Neurospora crassa OR74A: one gene and its partner. The protein of the gene in region 1 interacts with the protein of each later gene in a biochemical or structural test. Links are inferred from orthologs where the notes say so. Each region holds a gene or a part of one and is shown in the gene's direction. Other genes may lie near its edges.

What was found.
Region 2: the proteins of NCU04636 (region 1) and NCU02007 form a complex in vitro, tested with the Saccharomyces cerevisiae proteins (3 studies listed by BioGRID). The link is inferred for Neurospora crassa OR74A from reciprocal best matches to the Saccharomyces cerevisiae genes NFS1 and ISD11.

Annotation. Positions count from the first base shown.
Region 1 is NC_026505.1:1,377,113-1,381,600, forward strand, and holds NCU04636 (cysteine desulfurase), read left to right. Parts: upstream 1-1,624; 5' UTR 1,625-1,835; coding exon 1,836-2,106; intron 2,107-2,178; coding exon 2,179-3,002; intron 3,003-3,190; coding exon 3,191-3,613; 3' UTR 3,614-3,975; downstream 3,976-4,488. Other genes in the region: NCU04637 (BAR adaptor protein RVS167), read right to left, coding at 1-317, 476-511. UniProt on the Saccharomyces cerevisiae protein: Catalyzes the removal of elemental sulfur from cysteine to produce alanine. It supplies the inorganic sulfur for iron-sulfur (Fe-S) clusters. Plays a role in both tRNA-processing and mitochondrial metabolism.
Region 2 is NC_026501.1:1,696,260-1,699,546, forward strand, and holds NCU02007 (iron-sulfur cluster biosynthesis protein Isd11), read left to right. Parts: upstream 1-1,524; 5' UTR 1,525-1,730; coding exon 1,731-1,781; intron 1,782-1,880; coding exon 1,881-2,045; intron 2,046-2,108; coding exon 2,109-2,171; intron 2,172-2,228; coding exon 2,229-2,272; intron 2,273-2,335; coding exon 2,336-2,345; 3' UTR 2,346-2,603; downstream 2,604-3,287. Other genes in the region: NCU02008 (hypothetical protein), read left to right, coding at 183-345, 679-923.

The DNA of each region.
Region 1 (4,488 bases):
GCCAGTGTTTCCTGCAGGTCCTTGACAACGGCCTCGTACTCCTCGCAGGCGGCAATACCCTCATAGTTGCCATGGGGAACGAGCGAATCGGGATCGGACATGCGGCCGCTGATGGGCTTGTAGATTTCGGTCATTGCCTTTGAGAACTCGATTTGGTGTTGCAGCATGCCATTGATGGCCTCAAAGTACTTTTTGCTTTCATCGTGAAGGCGTTTGGTCTCGGTTTCGAGCTCCTGGAATCTGCGCTCCGAGTCGATGTAGACAGGGTCTTTGGTATGCTCGCCGAGGTTAAACTTTTGCTTGAATTGTTGTGGTGCCTGGTTTCTGTCGTGTTAGTGCCTGTTTGCCAACCCGAGTGATTCGGCGCTATTTCTGCCACAGACGGGGGACTCGACGGGAAGGGCGGAAGTGATGATGACGCTGTAACCGAAACTAGGGGAGGTGAGATCAACTAGGTATGCGGGGCAGAACCTACGCGGACCACGCTTTTTTGGAAGCCCCTGAAGCTCATATTCTGCTACGAAGCCGTATGATGTCTGATGTGTATTCGGTGTTTGTATGGAGATGCGCAAAGCGGGTTGCTGTTCGGAGAGGTTGAAGGCAATCGGTGGTCGAGTGCCCTCTTCAAGTCGGATCCGGATACGATGGTGATGACGCTGGGGGTGGGCAGGGGGGCGGTGCAGGTCGTTTGGCTGGTGGACGAAGTCTTGGCTGAGCGAAGCTTGCGACGGTTTGCGTGGCGCTGCTATTTGCTGAATGTTGGACACGCCGCACACAGCGACCTCGTTCCAAGATGTAGTGTGAAAAGTCTTTTTGTCTAGGCGTCTTGTGATTTCGGTTTGTTCTTGAATCCCGTCGGTCGGACCCTTGTCAGCAGTTCCGTTCGAGGTCCGACAAACTTCCTCGGGGAGGATTCGGTCTTCAACGGTAGGAGGTAAAGTAGCTAGAGGTAGCTGTCCTAGAGGTAAGATGCTACTAAATAGTTTAGCAGTGTAAATGGAATTCAAGTAGGTTGTCGGCGGTTATATGGCATGTCACTGATGGTTCAAGTTATAGTCCAACGCAGACATCCAATGCGAATGGAAACAGAATACTACCGAGGAGGTAAATAGGTACCGTCATCGGTTGTTCTGCTTTTGGTCGATGAGACCCCGGAAAGGAACGAATTGGAACGACGGGGTAGACCGACTGGGTCTGGGGCCCGCTGTAGTGTAGCTTTCATCCCAGTGGACATGCCGATTGAGAGAACAGATGGATGCCTGCCCCGGGTCAGTGCTCTTCCTTTCTGTGCAATGATGGATCAGATGCGTCCGCGGAGTCCGTTTCACAAGTGGACATTCCGCACTGTATTTGTCAAGTCAGTCGCCGCGGTGCACATCGAGCGTTCAGTTTCCGTCATGCCCGGCGGCCCATTCTCTAACATTTTGGAGCAGCGTCATTTTCGCCGTACGTACATACGCGCTTGTCCGATGTCCGAGAAAGAAACAGGTGGGGCCATCCGATGGCAGAATGACCAATCAAAGTGCCAAACCTTGTTGGTTGTCGCCCCTCATTGGCACATTCCTTTATCACCGACCCCTCCGAGGCCAAGTCCGCGTGCGGATGCCGTTTGTTTCGATTTGTTCTTTTCTGTATGGCGGAAATTCCACTCCGACCGCCGAAGAGCGGGAGGCGGCAGCTCCATCTGAATTTCTGAGTGTGTTTTGAGCCGCCCCGCCCGCTGCCTCCATCCGTTTTTGTAGGTTTGGTTACAAAACGAACTTTTTCTCCCTCATCCGCCATCACCCTCACCACCATATTCTCTTTTCCTCTCCTTCTTTCTTCTTCCTTTTACCATGTCCACCATTGCGCCGTCCGTCTTGCGACAGGCATCGCGCTTGGCCGCGGCCGCTCCTCTCCGCAGCGCGCGTGTGCTGTCGCGGGCGACTACTGCGGCTGCTGTCAAGACTGCTTCTGCTTCCAGGAGCTATGTGACCGAGACCAAGAGGAACAACGCCGACGTGCAGGCCGAGCATGCTATCAAGCTGGATCACAGGGAGATGGAGAAGCAGGGCCTCACTATAAGCGCGCAAAATGGCTCGAGCCAACACGTCAGCCCCATGGCTGGTAAGCATCATCATCACCTCCCACCTCTTCGGAGACATATTGCGCAGTCGTCCTCGTTGCTGACTCAACTAGATGTTCTCAGCAATGCTACCGTGATGGATGAGGGACAGCGTCCCATCTACCTGGATATGCAGGCCACAACCCCCATCGACCCCAGAGTGCTCGATGCCATGATGCCCTACTTCACCAACGTCTATGGCAACCCCCACTCGAGGACACATGCCTACGGCTGGGAGACTGACAAGGCCGTTGAAGAGGCGAGGAAACACATTGCTGATCTGATTGGCGCTGACCCCAAGGAAATCATCTTCACCAGCGGTGCCACCGAAAGCAACAACATGAGTATCAAGGGCGTCGCTAGGTTCTTTGGCCGGTCCGGCAAGAAGAAGCACATCATCACCAGCCAGACAGAACACAAGTGTGTCCTCGACAGCTGCAGGCATCTCCAGGACGAGGGTTTCGAAGTGACCTATCTCCCAGTGAAGAGCAGCGGCCTGATCGACATGGCGGAGCTGGAGGCTGCCATCCGTCCCGACACCGCCATCGTCAGTATCATGGCTGTCAACAACGAAATTGGTGTCATCCAACCCCTCGAGGAAATCGGCAAGCTTTGCCGGTCCAAGAAGATCTTCTTCCACACCGACGCTGCCCAGGCTGTTGGCAAGATCCCCGTTGACGTTAACGCCATGAACATTGACTTGATGTCCATCTCCTCCCACAAGATTTACGGCCCCAAGGGCATTGGTGCATGCTACGTCCGTCGTCGGCCAAGAGTCAGACTGGACCCCATTATCAGCGGTGGTGGTCAGGAGAGAGGTCTTCGCAGCGGCACGCTCGCTCCTCCGCTCGTTGTCGGCTTCGGAGAGGCGTGCCGCATCGCCAAGGAAGAAATGCCGGTATGTTACAGTCTCTTTTGTCTTCCTTTGCCCCTTTTATGATGAGTCGCTTTACACATGCATGGCTTTCTGAAGTCCCGTGACAAGGACTCCTTGTTGATAGACAGCAACTTCTCTGATCATGATTCTTCCATATCCCACATTTAATGCATCTCTCGTTCAAGGATGGGCGCTAACTGTTACAACAGTACGACTCCAAGCGCATCAAGCACCTTTCCGACCGTCTTCTCAACGGTCTGCTCTCCATGGAGCACACCAGCCAGAACGGTGATCCCAACCACTTCTACCCCGGCTGCGTGAACGTTTCTTTCGCCTATGTCGAGGGTGAGTCCCTCTTGATGGCCTTGAAGGATATTGCACTTTCTTCTGGCAGTGCTTGCACTTCGGCTTCTCTGGAGCCTAGTTATGTTCTCCGTGCTTTGGGTAACAGTGATGAGAGCGCCCACTCCAGTATCCGTTTCGGTATCGGCCGGTTCACTACCGAGCAGGAGATCGACTACGTGCTCAAGGCCGTAACGGAGCGTGTGGGCTTCCTCCGTGAGCTTTCTCCTCTGTGGGAGCTCGTCCAGGAGGGTATCGACCTGAACACGATCCAGTGGAGTCAGCACTGAGAGGTGACATGATGTGGTTGATGTGCGGTATTTTAACACGGTTTATAAACTGGGCGGAGTTTCTATTGCATTTTTATTTCTCCCGCTGCGCTGCCTTTTCACAAACACTACAGGCCGCTCGGGTTGTTTATACGGCCAACTTTACGAATTGCCGAGGCTCCCGCAAGGACGGAAGCAAGGGGCAAAACATGACCCATTGTATACTATCATGTATGTAAGCGATATTTGCGGATGACCTTTGTTTTGATGAGCAAGAGAATGATACCATAGGGCTGGGAGGCGGCGCTCGGAGGTGTCAGAAGAACAATTCATCATTCATATAATGGATACACATAATTCCCCAGCACTGTGGCTGATAAACGTCTTTTTTTCCATTTGACTTTGGCTGTGTGTAGATCGTGTCCATTTTGTGACTGTTCTGAACCCCCCAACCCGATGGTTCTGCTGAAGAACTCTACAAAGGGCGTGCGTATACAATGTGGCCAGTTACCGAGGTCGAAGGCCAGACAATGAGTGAGTGTGTACATAGTAGTGTACGTTCTCAGAACTAAGGGTCAAGGGTTCCACCTGAAAACCGCCTTGGTGTTGAGGGGCTTAGCTCGGCTCGTTGGTGGCTGCGACGACTTATGATGTCACAGTTTCGTTTGAGATGGTGGGATGAACTGACGAACGAACCCCTATTGGCAGCCTCTCGCCTATGACATCATAGTCTCTGGTGTGCTTTGTGAGACTACAAACGACATCTTCACAGGCACACACTATGGTAAGGCCATCCAATGGACATTGCTGCCACATGCAATGACTAGTAAGTTGCTGGAAGCTACGAACTGGAACAAACAAGAAAGACCATGACTGGACCAATTAGAGCAAAAAGC
Region 2 (3,287 bases), on another chromosome or scaffold:
CCGCTGATTCTGACCCGCAACCAGGCAAAACGGAGGGTATTCAGAGCTGTAATGCTGCGAGAAGGTGTATGAATACAGTTACGACAAGTTGTTCAACACGTTTCTGGGCTTTCTGGGCTTGCTCCGACTGTTTGAGGCATCCTGGTTGAAGTTGTTTTGCTGGTTAACGCGGAGACCAGAACATGACCTTTGGATCTCGATGGCAGGCTCAGCTAAAGCGAGACCCAAGATGGAGTCCGGGGTTGCATCATCAGTCATGTCAACCCTTCCAGTTCCCGATGTCGATATTCCTTTGGTACAGCGACCCAGCCGTATCAAGCCATTTCTCTGGTGGAAACCATGGAGGTAGACCATTAGAAGCTTTGCTTAAACCCCGACCACCGCGAGGCCGTCATGCAGGCTTCTTGGTGGTTGTCTTCCATCAGGCAGCCCATCTGGTTGAAGCAGAGCCCAACCTGCCCGATATGCGGTTCATCTTGTGATCCCCAAGGACTCCAGCCTCACGAAGACGTCAGGTTTGACACGCGATATGCCGGAAAAGCCGTGTCTCCTTGCCGCGATTTGATGGCCGATCTTGCATGAACTTTATAAAGTGTATTTGATGTCAGAAGCAGTGAATTTCCCACGGCATGACGTGATAATGTTCGAAAACTAACCATTCAACACCCGTCAACTAAGATCTTGGATTCTTCCCGGTGCGCGCGTCCTTGAGTATCAAATCAAGCTGTATCTGGTCGGGCATCCCTCGCGGTGGGCAGGGTGCCTCCAGAAGACAACTGGCTCAGGCAAGCGATCCGGCTATGCCTTTGCCGGTCAGCGTACAGGAGGGCTCTCCTTATATAAGGGCCTCCGGTCATTCGCTGAATCCTGAGAACTTCGTCTTGATGAAAGAACTCAACGCCCGTATCCTTTCCGATCTCTAGGGCTCCGAGAGATAGCTGAGCGGTTGTGAGGATAACCGAAGATGAACAGTCCGATGCTGGTTGCTCGACTGCTCGGTTATGAGAGCCCGTGACGAAGCTGTAGAATTTTTTATTTTTTTTCTTCCATTTTTTTTTTTTTTTGGTGACACGATGGAAACACTTGGAACTGAGTTTATTCGGGGTGCTTTGATTGAGAAAAAGAGGCATTGTGCTCGGCGTGTTCAGTATGCTTCTTGCTGTGGCTATTTGATTGAGTGCAAGGAGGCATTTGAAACCGGAAAGAACAATTCGAATATGCAGTGGCGCAAGACTCGGGGCCGAACAGTCATTATAAAAATTGTAACGGGAACCATGAATTGGGAAATGGCAGTGATGGACAAAGGTCCGGAAGCGGAAGGGTTAGTGAACGAGAAGTGACTGAACGGGCGAGAGGAAGGAAGAGGACGTTGTAAGCCATCATATGCCACAGACATGAATGAATACATTTATCAAGATGCTGAGTACCCGTAGATCTCGGTCATGCTTACGCATAGTGTATGTACATATCCGAGCCACCCACCCAGTACTCGCGCCAAGGTCGCCGAACCACATCTGAAATGCGGACGTCCGAGCTTTCGCCGTACGCTGACGAAGGCAAACGCATCATCACGACTGATCGACGAGCCATATTCGCCGGCGCCTTGACTTCTACAGCACCTTTTTCCTACCACACTCACGAGTTTCTCCACGAGGCACGAGCATACCAAATCGTACGCACCAAGCAGCACAGAGGCCAAAAGAGGGAAACGGGAAAGGAAGTTGATCGATATGTCTACCGTCGCAAGGACTGGCGAGTCAGCCGGCAAAGTTCTGTCGCTGGTATGTAGCATGCCTTTCTGCGCACTTCTTTCCCTGGATCGTAAACGGTATTTGGGCTAGAACAACGCAAACGCTAACATCGTTGCTTTGAACCAACAGTATCGTCAGCTTTTGCGCCAGGGAAATCAGTTTTCCTCTTACAACTTCAGAGAATACGCCAAGCGCCGCACAAGAGACGCTTTCAGGGAAAACAAGAACGTGGAGGATCCTAGACAGGTGCAGGAACTTGTGCAGAAAGGGTTACAGAATCTTCAGATGCTCAAGGTATGCCGGGCACTCGAGCTGAGACGCGACTTGGAGAATACAGAGAAGTTGACATTGGAATAGCGCCAAACAGTCATTAGCCAGTTTTACCAACAGGACCGCTTGGTCGTTGAGGGCGGGCTCTCGGTAAGTCTTCCTGAACCGTTCCGTGGAGTAGATCAGAGGTGATCTAACAAGTCGCAGGGTAAGGACAAAGAAGGAGGTAAGCTCAGGCAGAAGGATACTGGGTAAGTTATAATCTTGAGAAGCAGATTTGAGAAGAGCTGTCTTGCTAACGAACTGAACCTCAGCTGGGACTAAATGGCTGCAGACGAAAATCCCTGTTTAGTAGTCGCTTTGCACGAATGACACGGGAAGAAAAGGCTATGTTTAATACTATGAGTGAAGGGTTGGCGAAGAGTACACCTGTTCGAGGTTGCAGGAATGATGACGGGATACCAATACCAGCTTTGATTTAGCAGGCCAACAAGTCCAAAGGTGGTGGTCGACGGGGCTTCTCTGATAGCAGAGGATAATTAACTTAAATCAGTTACCATATCAAATTCCAGTGATTCGGCACAATTATGAACGGTCCCTTGGGTATAGATTATGTCTTGGTTGTGTCGTGCCATGATAACCGGCTTTCCGGATCACCGTCAGAACCTGCGAATCCTTGTCGCAACTAGATCGACTCGTTCCTTGCATATCCGAGATCGGTTTGGCAGTGGGGGCTGCCTTAAGAAGGTAAATTGCTTTACCGAGAATTCATGTCCCATTGGCATGGTCAGTGCGACCAGTGCGCGCGACCACTGACTGACCACTGCAGGACGAGCCACTGCAGTCAATCGAAGGCTGTCGGAGAGTGTCAGGTTGGCCGCCGCGACTTGAATGCGACGCGCAACATCCCGCACCTTGTCGACTTCCATCCTTCCATTGACAACATTCTTAGCTGGCGGCATAGGATCGATTTCTTGTGGAAGCTACCTCTGCATCAGTACGGGTTCCCCTTACTCTTCTCTTTCTCTATCACATACCTACCTACCTATAGTTTGCACCATATCGTTACGTAGTCCGGCATCTAGTCGCTTTCAGCCGATCCATCGTTATTGTTCATCATCATCCATCCTTCTATTCAGGTTCCAACACAGTACAGCGGCAGAACAAGCAGCACTTAGAAGCAGTCCCTGGACCGCTGACCTGCACTCACCCACCGACGTTGCTCCACCTCTATTCAAGATTAGACCGAGACATATTCGACCATCT